4 linked regions of the Nothobranchius furzeri genome follow. The protein of the gene in region 4 interacts with the protein of the main gene of each other region in a pairwise test. Links are inferred from orthologs where the notes say so. Each region holds a gene or a part of one and is shown on either strand. Other genes may lie near its edges.

Region 1 (3,609 bases), on a different chromosome or scaffold from region 4:
GTTTTTAAGTTGATGTTGCAGAAAATACTGATGGTTGTTTCATCATTGTGGTGCGTAGTAGTCTAAGTCTCCACTTCCGCCACACTCATCTGATCACATGATGGGGTAGCTGGCCAGGTTAGCGATGCCACAGAGGTTGCCACGGTTGCGTGCCATCAAGATGTAGCCGTTGTTGCCCCACTCTTCACCCCAGCTGTCGGGATGAAAACAAAAGAGAGGCTGAACGTCACCTGGACTCAAATCGACACTTGAAATTAACTATTTATTTTCCGTGACGCCCCACCTGTTCTTGACGATCCAGTACTTCTTCCCCTTGGGGCTCACACCAAAGCCAACGGCCAGCACGGCGTGATTGATGTCCTCCTTGTTACAGTTGGTGTCGTAATAAATGCCTGGTCACATGACAGAGAAAGTACAAATATGTAAACTTGAGATGTGAAACAATCCATAGAGGAAGGAGATATTATCTACGCTGTGTTGACAATTTCAACATCTAAAGATGGTCATATCAAACCTGCAATCTGGAGTCTTCCCCTTTTCAGGAGTTATGTATACAAGTTTTAAGAAATCATTAAAACCTAGTCGTACCCTGCACTGTGCTATAATGGAAGCAAAATGTCTTATGTTAATTTATTTAATTAATTTTGCTATTAAAAAATTAATGTTTTAGCTCCGTTGCCCGGTTAGAGGCAATGCCAACTTTGACAAGAAATTAGAATTTAGTTTTAAATAGTTTTAAAATTTTGTCACAATTTAGTCGTCCAATGTGTTTTATTTTAGTCTTATTTTATTTGACTAAAATGTATGTATTTGTCATCTGATGCAACAATTTTCTGTAAAGGAAGTCTTAACTACTTTAAACTGTAAAGAAAAATTCACATTTCACATTTTGCATCAATAAAACTATACATCTAGTTGTCTAAGTGACCATAATTATTGCTAAATACCAAAGTGAACACTGACAATTAGAAATTGTGTCTCCCAATATTAATAAATTAAACAAATCTGTATAATGTGCAGTAATATTTGTAAACCTTACATGAAATGACATCAAACCATTAAAACACTAATATGTGTTACTCTAATAATGTGAGGAGGTAAACTAAAGGTAAAGATTGTTTTCGGGTGTGTTTATCAGAGTTTTCCCAGGCAGGTGGGCTGCCTGAACAATTTTCTGGACCACCTGAATGTTTTTTCTTCTTCACAGAAACACCACTAGATCACCAGACGCTGATATCATTGGCTGTACTAATGCCATGAAAATGTTAAAACCACCAGTTTGGTTAAGCTCCTCTCCCGCCCCTGCTAGCTGCTACCACCGTAACACGTTTAAAACCAAGCTGTGGACATTTTGTCCTTTAAGATGTATAACTGGTAGCGGAAGCTTGTTCAAACATGGCCAGCTCATCTAGTCTCGTCTTTCCATACGGTGATTGTTTCTTTTTGTCTACATTCTACCATCATTACTGTTTTAACGATAGGATTTTCGTTTCTGTCAATTTTTGTTGTTGTCTTTTATTCGTCATTATTTAGTTTAATTAGAAGTGATCATTTAAATGTTGTTGTGTTGCCCTTAAGGCTTTCTCTGAATAAATAGGTTCATAAGTTTGAAATAAATAATTCTAAAAGGATTTGTCATTAAAAACATTGATATGTGTTGTTAAAATGAATAATTCATGCTTTATATGTGTTTTAGTTAAAAAGAAAATATCGCTAAAATGTGCTTCCTGTTCTGGCGGTGCACTTCCGGTTTTGGTCAAACACTGTTTTCGCGGAGAAACAGGCGCTTCATGCAGAAGCAGTGTTGCCAGATGTACGATAATTATCGTATTCGTACCATAATTTTGGGCTCTACAATGTACGATCAATAGTTTAAAAAATCCTCAAATGTACGATAATTTCACATTGCAACTAGTAACACCGTCTTTTGCTGTAGCTTTCCCAAGTCAGTTACATAATTTTAAACTGTTCTGAAGTCAGATTTCGCCTCAGTGCTTACAGGTTTATGCTATTGTGTCTATTACAAAAACTGACTCTGGGTCTGTACTATAAATAGCCCAATCACATCGATAGGGCCTACTCTCGTGAGAAACTGTAAGGTTATATAATGTGGCAGTGTCCCGCCAGTTTTTGCTGTTTGCCCGCGAGCACGCCGAGTTAAGTCTAATCTAGGATGACAGAGCAACGAGACAATGGCTTCTAATCTTAAAAGAAAAACCTATGTAGAAATGAAATAAATAGGACTGCGCAAATGTGCATATTGTGTCAATGCGTGGAGGTCGGAGTGGTGCTGACACACTCTGCACGTTTATAAGCATTATATTACTGGTTTTAAAGATGTTTATTTAAACAGGGCAATATAAAACACCTTCTTTGTTATATTATATTGGAGTGAGAAGTTGTTTATAGAACGTTATTATCAAATTTATAATGTACGATAATTTGTACTGAAAAACGATAATTTAAGCCTCTCTGTACGATATTGTGGGATTTTGGATCTGGCAACACTGTGCAGAAGGCAGCGTGGAGATGTAATCAGATGCCATCTTCTCTGAATTATCAGGCTGGAACGCCGTAAGTTGCTTTATATGACAGTTTATACTAATAGCTTTGGATATTAGTGTATATTTTGCTAACATGAATGTTTCAGTGAGAGTAATGCACTTTTTGGATGTAAACATGCTTCTATCTGTTAAGATGGAGTCTATTTTCTGTCATTTCAGTTTTCACCACATGTTCATGAGACAATTAAACAAGCTGCAGCTAAACTCCAGGGTCTTCATTTGTGGTTTAACTCGGTGTCACCAACATTCCTGTTGAAAACACTACAGTGAAAAGGCGACTACTGACGATTCATCACGGTCAAAATGGCATCGAGTAACAAGTCTGCACGCAGTTTGAGGACGAGCCGCTCATCTGGATCAGCAGTAAGCGCTGCCCAGGCTCGAGCTAAAGCAGAGGCTGCGAAGGTGAGAGCATGCTACGCAACAAAAGAAGCACAGTTAAAAGTTGAAAAAGCTCAAAGCGAACTGGAAAAGGCAAAAATAGATGTGGAATTAGAAGTGTTAACATTACAGAGGGAAGCTGATGCTGCTCTAGCTGAAGCAGAAGTGCTAGAGGAAGCTGAAGCAATACAAGAAGAACCCGAGAGTAGAAAATCTCCATCAGAAAGTGTAAAATTAGAACGTACGAATGAATATGTACGATCTCAAATGGACACCAAGCTATCTCCCAGTCCACGACAATTACCAACCACTGCTTGTCCCAGAGCAAGTTCACCCAACACATTTGTAACGTGGCATCCATCTGAAGAAGGCAATTTAGAGCCACAACCCATCAACTCTGAAATGAGGCTTACCAAAGCTAATATCGCTGCTCTAAATTACCCCAGCCAGCTGAAAGGTGAAACAAAACCTAAAGTGGAGAAACAAAATACCTCTCTCAACCCATGCGGCTCACCATTTATACCTCAGCATAACTGTAACACCGCGGCCAGCATTTTAAATCCAGCAGAGCCCTTTGCTCAATACATGGCACGTCGAGATTTAATAATCTCAGGCCTTTACCAGTTCGACGACAGGCCAGAGAATTACAGAGCATGGCGCTCTT
Region 2 (3,609 bases), on a different chromosome or scaffold from region 4:
ACATTGCGTGCAGCAGCAACCACAGCCTCCCAGACATTGTTCAGAGAGGTGTACTGTTTTCCCTCTTTGTAAATCCCACATTTGATGATGGACCACAGGTTCTCAATGGGGTTCAGATCAGGTGAACAAGGAGGCCATGTCATTAGTTTTTCTTCTTTTATACCCTTACTTGCCAGCCAAGTACTTGGACGCGTGTGATGGAGCATTGTCCTGCATGAAAATCATGGTTTTCTTGAAGGATGCAGACTTCTTCCTGTACCACTGCTTGAAGAAAGTGTCTTCCAGAAACTGGCAGTAGGACTGGGAGCTGAGCTCGACTCCATCTTCAACCCGAAAAGGCCCCACAAGCTCATCTTTGCTGATACCAGCCCAAACCAGTACTCCACCTCCACCTTGCTGGCGTCTGAGTGGGACTGGAGCTCTCTGCCCTTTACCAATCCAGCCACGGGCCCATCCATCTGGCCCATCAAGACTCACTCTCATTTCATCAGTCCAGAAAACCTTAGAAAAATCAGTCTTCAGATATTTCTTGGCCCAGTCTTGACGTTTCAGCTTGTGTGTCTTGTTCAGTGGTGGTCGTCTTTCAGCCTTTCTTACCTTGGCCATGTCTCGGAGTATGGCACACCTTGTGCTTTTGGGCACTCCAGTGATGTTGCAGCTCTGAAATATGGCCAAACTGGAGACAAGTGGTATCTTGGCAGCTGCACGCTTGACTTATCTCAGTTCATGGGCAGTTATTTTGCACCTTGGTTTTTCCACACGCTTCTTGCGACCCTGTTGACTATTTTGAATGAAACGCTTGATTGTTCGATGATCACGCTTCAGAAGCTTTGCAGTTTTAAGACTGCTGCATCCCTCTGCAAGATATCTCACTATTTTTGACTTTTCTGACCCTGTCAAGTCCTTCTTTTGACCCATTTTGCCAAAGGAAAGGAAGTTGCCTAATTATTATGCACACCTGATATAGGGTGTTGATGTCATTAGACCACACCCCTTCTCATTACAGAGATGCACATCACCTAATAAACTTAATTGGTAGTCGGCTTTCGAGCCTATACAGCTTGGAGTAAGACAACATGCATGAACAGGATGATGTGGACAAAATACTCATTGGCTTAATAATTCTGCACTCCCTGTATATATATATATATATATATATATATGTATATACATATACATATATATATATATATATGTATATACATATATATATATATATATATATATATATATATATGTATATACATATATATACATATATATATATGTATACATATATATATATATACATATACATATACATATACATACATATACATACATACATATAAAAAATATATATATACATATATACATACATATATATACATACATATACATATATACACACACATATATATACACGCACACACACACACACACATATATATATATATATATATATATATATATAAATATATGTGCACACTGAGGATAAAGACATTAATCAAAGCTTAATTTTGTAAAACACAATTTAAGACAGTTGTTTACACACGGTCACGTTTTAAAACATAACTCCAACCCCATGACGTAGGCACGTACAGAAAGTGCCAGTGAAGTGAGCCAAAGTTGCAAGCAGGTGGCAGGCAGACTTATCAACAAAACAATGGAGGACGATATTTTGGATAAAATTTGTTCGGGAGTTTACATTCTTAAAAGAAAGGAGGGACAAACTGCTAAATCGCTGGTTTGGGAAAGATTCAGCAAGGTAATAAGCACAGACAACAGCAGCAGCATTGGCTGGACAAAACAAGAACATAACAGGTAATGCGTTTGTTTGCTTTCAAAATGTTTGATAAAAGTTGTAAAATGTTTTATTATTTTGTTTGCCCAAGCATGGGCTCTAGGTGCTGTTTTTGTTTTGGTTATTGCACTATTAGTAGGGAAACAAACAAAAAACCCTTGTTTCATTTAATTTTAAACTTTCTTTATCTGCCTATTTTTATTTTTTATTTTAATTTTTTATTTTAGCCTTTAAAAATGTAAATGTTACTACCATTTTCCAGTGCCAGTTTGGGGGCTATTTAACGCACCTTTGTCTGAATAAAAGCACATTCAATCAATAACGTGTTTTTAATGAGGCGGGTCGGGGCGGCGCGGGTTGTAAAAATAGACCTAGTGAAGCGGGGCGGTTTGGTGCGGATCAGACGTTATCAAATCTGCGGTACCCGCGGGTTCAAAAGAACCCTAACCCTCACTAGTGCTTACAGCCTGAATGCTTCTGATTAGTCACAGCAGTGTCCTTGGAGAGACAGACACCAGGACGGTGTCCCTCTCTGGTCAGCCCTGCAATCAGCATGTGTGTGAAAGCCGGCATCTTTCAAACTGGGTTTTTGTTTGTAAATGAGTGAGCGTGTGTAGAGTCACCTTGACTGCAAAGCTGCATTTTCCACTGCGCACCGCCTCCTCGTCCGTCTGCCACTGGTGCGGCCGACTCGATTCCGGCACATAGACGTCTTTCTTTCGCCGAAAGCTCTGCCTTAGCTTATTCATCGCTGAGCTCCCTGTGAGGACAGAAAGAGGCAGTTTAGACTGGACTGTCAGCAGTTAAATAAGGAAGGCAGATCTCTCTTTTACCCATCGAGCCTGGAGCTGTGTGATTATTGAACAACCTTTTTAACATGCAGGAAGCATTTTAATAAAACATACTGGACAAAATGATTATTACATCAAAAACGAATAGTTTAACCATCAAAGCTATTTTGTTTTGGTTCAATAGTTAGAACAAGTTTACGAAATAAATATTTTCTTACACGCGGCCATTTGCCTGTTTTTTTAAATTCACTATTAAAGCTACAATGCCAAAACTACAAAACACGCCAACTTAAAACAAGGATTTTATCCCTCTCAACAACATAGTATAGCTATAACTATATGGTGGAAATAAAAAATAAATAAACAAATTAATTCACTGGTTCTCTCACATTTGTCCAAAAACCTCAGCCAATAGCACAGCTCAGTCTGAAACCAACTGGACCATCCGGTTGTCGATCTAACTGAACCGCTGCATTGTCCTGGGACCTCCATTCATATACACACTCACACACACATTTAGCAACAGAACACCACTGGTGTGAGAGGTCAGGCTGGCAGCCGTAACAGAGGCTCTCTGCTCAATAATATCAGAGAAGGAGAAACAGTTGGCTGCTACCACTTCAACTTTAGGACAAACTACCAGAGTCCCAAAAAGAAAAACACCACTTGAAGTCACGGACAACAAAAGATGTTTGGATCTAGAAAACTGTGACTGGTGTTTAGTGCCATCTCGTTTACCGTGGCGACGCAGGTTCCCTTGTGAGGGGGCATGGCCAAGAGATGATAGCCAACAGAAGGGTTGAGAGTTCTGTGATTGTATTTAAAAGCCAACTTTTTGCAGATTTGATAACGCAGTTATAAATGAAGTTACAATCATAAATGTGTCATTTTTTTTCTGATGAACAGAGGCCATATGTGATTGCTAATAAACAAAAAGCTGTACTTATGCAGCTAAGCCCTGTTGTTGCTTTGGCTCACCGAGGTGAAAAAAACATCAACTTTTCTGTTCCAATGTTCACCGTTTGCTCCTATAGG
Region 3 (2,610 bases), on a different chromosome or scaffold from region 4:
GTGACGAGCGCTGCAGCGCGAGCGCGTCCACACGTCATGCTCAAATACAGACAGAACTTACCAGAGAGAAAATGAACGGACACGAATGACTGTGTGTTAATTATATATTTTTGGTGACGCCACTTAAAAACTTAGTAAATGTTACTGTGGCTGTGTGCAGAACGCAGCTGGAGTTCATGAATAATCAGCGGTCTGCCTGCTGCTCTGCTCAAAAGAATCCCCGCGACGCTGAGTCCATATAATATAATATAGTATAATATAATATAATATAATATAATATAACATAACATAACATAACATAATATAATATAATATAATAAAGGTAGAAACTGGATCTTTGTTGTGCTCCTTCTGGGTGTGGAAGTTAAGGGCATCAGGGGAGCCTGACAACCTTTAAGGAGAACCAAGTTGCTTTCCTGTAATTTGAACCCAGTATCCGAGTCCGGATCGGGGCTTGGATTGGGAAGTAAAGTCCGAGTCCCGATCGAGTCTGAAACCACGTGATCGGGGCCGATTTCCGAGCATGTGATCGGATCGGGACATCCCTAATAAAAAGCACCACACTATATTAGCTGGCATTCTAAGTTTTCATACGGTGACGTTGGTGCACTACTTTGGGAAATAAGGCAGCCCCCCCTCCTTTAAGGCCCTTGTTGAGAAGCCTGAAAAATGGGGGGGACCACTGAATTTTGCACATTCAGCAACCGGCGAGAAAATCATGAAAAACATCTTATTCCACCTTTATGGTGGCACTGATGGTTTAGATTTTAGTGGGAACAACATTAGACAGCACAAACTCAACATTTTTTAATGAATTGATATTTACTGTATATAAATAAAAGCATTACCTGGGGTCAGTTTGGGTTGATAGTCCTCATCTTCATTCGTTTTTCTTTGTACCTCAGCAGCTTTGGCGGAAGCTTTTCTCCGCTTGGCAGAAACCGGTGATCCTTTCTCTGAAGTGATTTTGTTCAAGCCTGAAGATAAAAGTTATCAAATTATCAAGAAGATCCACAAGCTAAAAAACAAAACAATTCTTAGGCATGCTCTTTTGACTGCACTGGGAACGTCAAAAGCCTGGCAGTTTCACAATTTTAGGCAATTTACCCAAACATAACACAACATGCCACCCAGCTCCTGGTGCAATCTACTGTCCTCTCCCGCCTCGATTACTGCAATGCCCTTCTAACTGGTCTTCCAGGCTGTACTGTGAGACCTCTTCAAATGGTCCAGAATGCAGCGGCGCGTCTGGTCTTCAATCAGCCAAAAAGAGCACACGTCACCCCTCTGTTCATTGAGCTCCACTGGCTACCGCTAGCAGCAGGCTTCAAATTCAAATTGCTAACACTAGCATACAAAGTCCGAGACGGTACGGCTCCCATCTACCTGAATCATCTTGCAAAGGCTTACGTCTCTGCCCGGCTGCTCCGGTCATCACAGGATCGTCGGCTAGCAGAGCCCACACCACGCTCAGGACAATCCAGACTGTTCTCATGCATCGTTCCACAAATGTGGAATGACCTTCCAAGCTCTACCAGAACAGGGGCTTCCTTTTCAATTTTCAAGAAACTCCTGAAGACCCTGCTCTTCAGAGAGCATCTTCTTAACTAGCACCCTCCCTGCACCCGTCCCCCTCTCTACTGTCCACTCCTTGTTCCCTCCTCTCCATGATTGATGTCAAGTTGTTGTTGTTGTTAGCCTCAAGGGCAACATGCCGATTATCACTTGTAAGTCGCTTTGGACAAAAGCGTCTGCTAAATACATAAACATAACCATAATTTTTACACTGCTTAGATGTGTATACAGGCAACAGAAAAGGAGGATTTACCCATAACAGCTCCGTCCACACTGCAGTTGGAGATAGGAAGAGAAAATGGATCGGTGTTTTCATCTATGGGGTTTTTAGCTCGGAGATCTGCAGGTTAGAATTTGCAGAAAAAATATTTTAAAAATCTATCTGCAACCGTTTATGAACATAAAATCACTTGACAAAGCACACCTTTGCTGGTGGGAGCCTCCTTTATTCCCTCTGCGTTGTTGAGTAAGGAAAGTGTGATGGCTGCTTCTAGATCTCTCTCGTACAACTTTTCATCCAGTGGTTTTCTGACAAAATGAGTTCACGTAGAAAAGTTTACACCTTTGTTTGAATTCTCTGCAAAAAAATGCATCTAAAGCATGATGGAGAACTCTGGAACAGCTTGTGGTTTCATTTGTGACTAAAAGTGAAATAATGCCACATAGCTAGTGATCCTTCATCCAAACATCCACAGACTCCACCACACAAGTCCACTACGTTTTAACTCTAAATAAAGCTTTTCAGAGAACAGAGAAACTTCTCGGAGCTATTTAACAACTCCCTCCCCACTTCACCCGGTTAGCTCACTGAAACAGGTGAGAAATTTGATGTTTATTTAAAGGCAAAATAAACAAACATCCACAGAATTACTCTCAAATCTCCACAGATTGATAAAAAAAAATTCTTTCTTACTCAAAAATAAAATAAAATTGGTTAATAAAAAAATGAATCACTTGGGCAGCAGTAGCTCAGGTGGAAGAGCGGGTTGCCTCATGATCGGAGGGTCGTGGGCTCGATTCCAGCTCCCGCCAGGG
Region 4 (2,686 bases):
GTAATAATAAACATTTGAACAGAAGAACTGTCTCTAATCCAGGTTGGGCGTTCAGATGGAGGAGAAACGACAGTCTAGCAGGTCTGAACCACAGATCCATCTTTTTCATGCTCCTTTCATACAAAAACAACTAAAACAGTTTAGAAACAGACGCATGAAATAAAACCTCCAAACTAAAGTGAAATGTAGTGTTTTTTAATCTCTTCCTAGTTCTGAAAAACTTCTGTTCCTCGGTCAGGTCTCACCTGCTCAGTGTGTGTGGTGCAGAGGACAGGTGTGTTGTCGTGTGTGACGGCACACTACAGCTAGTCCAAAAAATAGAGCAGGTAAAGATCCGGCTCAGAGCTTCCCGTTCGGAGTCGATTAACTATCAACTACGGCTGTCCCAGTTTGACCTTTGAGCTGGCCGGGTCAGACCAGGTGAGCCTGTTTTATGAACACTTAGTACAGATCCAGGGTTCTGGTGCTGCAGCCGTCCGGTCCAACGTCTAAATCGTTATCAGTCACAGGTGAAACGAGCGTTTGGGAAGAGGTTTTATGGATGAGTGAGTTGATAGCAGCCACTCAGATCTCCGTTCGTCTACATTTGGATTTTTGAAAAGAAGCTAGCTGGCAAGCTAGCTTGTTAGCACTGACCAGGAGTCCATGTTGTATTGTCCTTGACATGACCTTCAGGATGAGGAGAAACAAAACGGGACTAGAACTAAACAATCCAGCCAATCACAGGTGAGTCTGACAAGTCTTCACTACACAGGTATGTCCTAATGCGCTTCACTCATCCATACATAACAGCCTGGGCCCTCACTGCTGCCCAATCACAGTCCAGATCCATGTCACAGAGGGGAGGGGTGGGGCTGTGAGGTCAGCATGGACGTGACCCCTAAAAAAATGCACCCCCCACCCTCCTTTACAATCTGATGCTCGTCACCTGGGAGTCCTCAGCACATGGAGATGGTGACGTTGATGCCCAGGTTGCCATTCTCGGCGAACAGCTGTGCGATCGATGTGTCAAACACCAAGCAGTCGCTGTTCATGATTGCCGTGGCGATGCCCTCGTGGATGGAGCGTGGAGTCGCCTCCCAGGTGAGCCGACGCCGGTGACCGTTGAGCTCCAGCCGGTATGCGAAGTTTTCTGCCTGCTTGCGAGTCCCGATGAGCTGCACGATGGCGAAGAACTGCTGGTGGCCGTCATACTTCTCCTGCTTCTCCAGCACCAGCATAAAGTGGAACCCGAAGCAGGACTGCATCATGACCCAGTCCACGGCGCCGGGCAGGTTGATGTCTGTCGCCAGGAACACGATGTCCTCACCCTGATGCACACACAGGTCAGAGGGTGAGCAGGCAGAAGCAGAACCCTAAGACTCATTACTGTGTGACCCGTGTCCAGCAGAGGGCACTGCTACAAATCACTACAGCCGTTAGAACAAAAGACTGAAAAATTTGGTCCTGAAAAGTAAAATTTATTTGTAAAATCTTGAGATTTGACTTCATTAATAAAATCCACCAGGAAACGAGCTCAAAGCACCAAGCGTGACCTCTGACCTGCAGTGTGGTGATGGACTTGTGCTGGTGCATCAGGTGTGGCATGACTGCATCCAGGGATCCCTGCCACTTGCAGGAGGCTCCGGGACACGGGCAGGAATATGGTCGGAACTCGCACAGCTCCTCGTGCTCGGTCTTGTCGGTGTGAGGCAGAGTGACTTCACAGCCTGATGAGGCGTACTTACAGGGGAAGAGCACCGAGTTGGCTACCTTCTCCATGGCCAGGTTCCTGATGGAGCCCAGGGGGCCCCTGCAGGTGGGGCAGCAGGTGAGCTTGGGCCGGCAGTTGGAGCACACCTGAGACGAAATATGAGCTCAGTAGTTACACTAAAAAAAAAGTGTGTGTGCGCACCACCACGAATGACTGGATGGGTTAAAGTTAAAACATCCAGACCAAGTGTGAGTTCATCCCGATGAGAGCACTAATTAATGCTGAGGCATCCTTTGGTACATTTGGAAAAAATTGAGTTTTAACAGATATTTTTAAAGAAAAATCTTCAAACATATGACATAACAGCTTGCCATATCGCAGCTGATTCTAACCAAACCATCAGATCTTGGTTAAAAAAATAAGCCATTTTAACTTTCTGTGGTTTGGTTCTGGTCTCATCTGGGCCGGGTCACAGGGCTACATGACCCAGGAACGTCGGTGCTCTGTGGGGTTTGGTTGATGGGGGCGATACGTACCAGGTGTCCCGACTGGCACTGCAGGATGGGGGGCAGGACATAGTCAAAGCAGACCGGACACTCGAACAGGCTGGCCAGGTCACTGTTGGAGGCCGTGGTGCCCGACAGGGTGGGCACGCGCTGAGAGGGAGGGCACTTAGAAGTTCCTGTGGGCAGCGCGGTGGCGGTCTGGCGACTCATTTCTGATAAAAGACACAAGAGTGGAGTTACAGCGATAAACACCTTTACACTTCTATTTAAAGAGCAAGTCAACCCCTACCAGAGTCTAACTCCACTCCCACTTCATGTTTGAAAAATGCAACAAATGCTGTTGCCTAGCAGACTGAGAAGGCAGAGCTGCTAACAAATACACACACACACAGGCTCACGACAGAATTGTGACATCATAATGTACCAGTTTACATCATAGCATACCTCTTAGCCAATAGCGGTGGCAGATTTAAATTAAAATGCAGTG

What was found. The genes of interacting proteins can lie anywhere in the genome.
Region 1: the proteins of siah1 (region 4) and ctsk interact in a two-hybrid assay, tested with the Homo sapiens proteins (2 studies listed by BioGRID). The link is inferred for Nothobranchius furzeri from reciprocal best matches to the Homo sapiens genes SIAH1 and CTSK.
Region 2: the proteins of siah1 (region 4) and numb interact in a two-hybrid assay, tested with the Homo sapiens proteins (2 studies listed by BioGRID and IntAct). The link is inferred for Nothobranchius furzeri from reciprocal best matches to the Homo sapiens genes SIAH1 and NUMB.
Region 3: the proteins of siah1 (region 4) and rad51ap1 interact in binary tests that used the Homo sapiens proteins (3 or more experiments, as listed by UniProt). The two-hybrid records come from large-scale screens. The link is inferred for Nothobranchius furzeri from reciprocal best matches to the Homo sapiens genes SIAH1 and RAD51AP1.

The regions. Positions count from the first base shown.
Region 1 is NC_091745.1:65,969,860-65,973,468, forward strand, and holds part of ctsk (cathepsin K), read right to left. Parts: intron 393-3,609; coding exon 284-392; intron 194-283; coding exon 94-193; 3' UTR 1-93. UniProt on the Homo sapiens protein: Thiol protease involved in osteoclastic bone resorption and may participate partially in the disorder of bone remodeling. Displays potent endoprotease activity against fibrinogen at acid pH. May play an important role in extracellular matrix degradation.
Region 2 is NC_091758.1:16,891,943-16,895,551, forward strand, and holds part of numb (protein numb homolog), read right to left. Parts: intron 2,544-3,609; 5' UTR 2,533-2,543; coding exon 2,407-2,532; intron 1-2,406. UniProt on the Homo sapiens protein: Regulates clathrin-mediated receptor endocytosis. Plays a role in the process of neurogenesis.
Region 3 is NC_091741.1:43,141,117-43,143,726, reverse strand, and holds part of rad51ap1 (RAD51-associated protein 1), read right to left. Parts: intron 2,104-2,610; coding exon 2,000-2,103; intron 1,916-1,999; coding exon 1,829-1,915; intron 978-1,828; coding exon 849-977; intron 1-848. UniProt on the Homo sapiens protein: Structure-specific DNA-binding protein involved in DNA repair by promoting RAD51-mediated homologous recombination.
Region 4 is NC_091744.1:81,660,865-81,663,550, reverse strand, and holds the end of siah1 (E3 ubiquitin-protein ligase Siah1), read right to left. Parts: intron 2,412-2,686; coding exon 2,230-2,411; intron 1,840-2,229; coding exon 1,543-1,839; intron 1,311-1,542; coding exon 939-1,310; 3' UTR 521-938; downstream 1-520. UniProt on the Homo sapiens protein: E3 ubiquitin-protein ligase that mediates ubiquitination and subsequent proteasomal degradation of target proteins.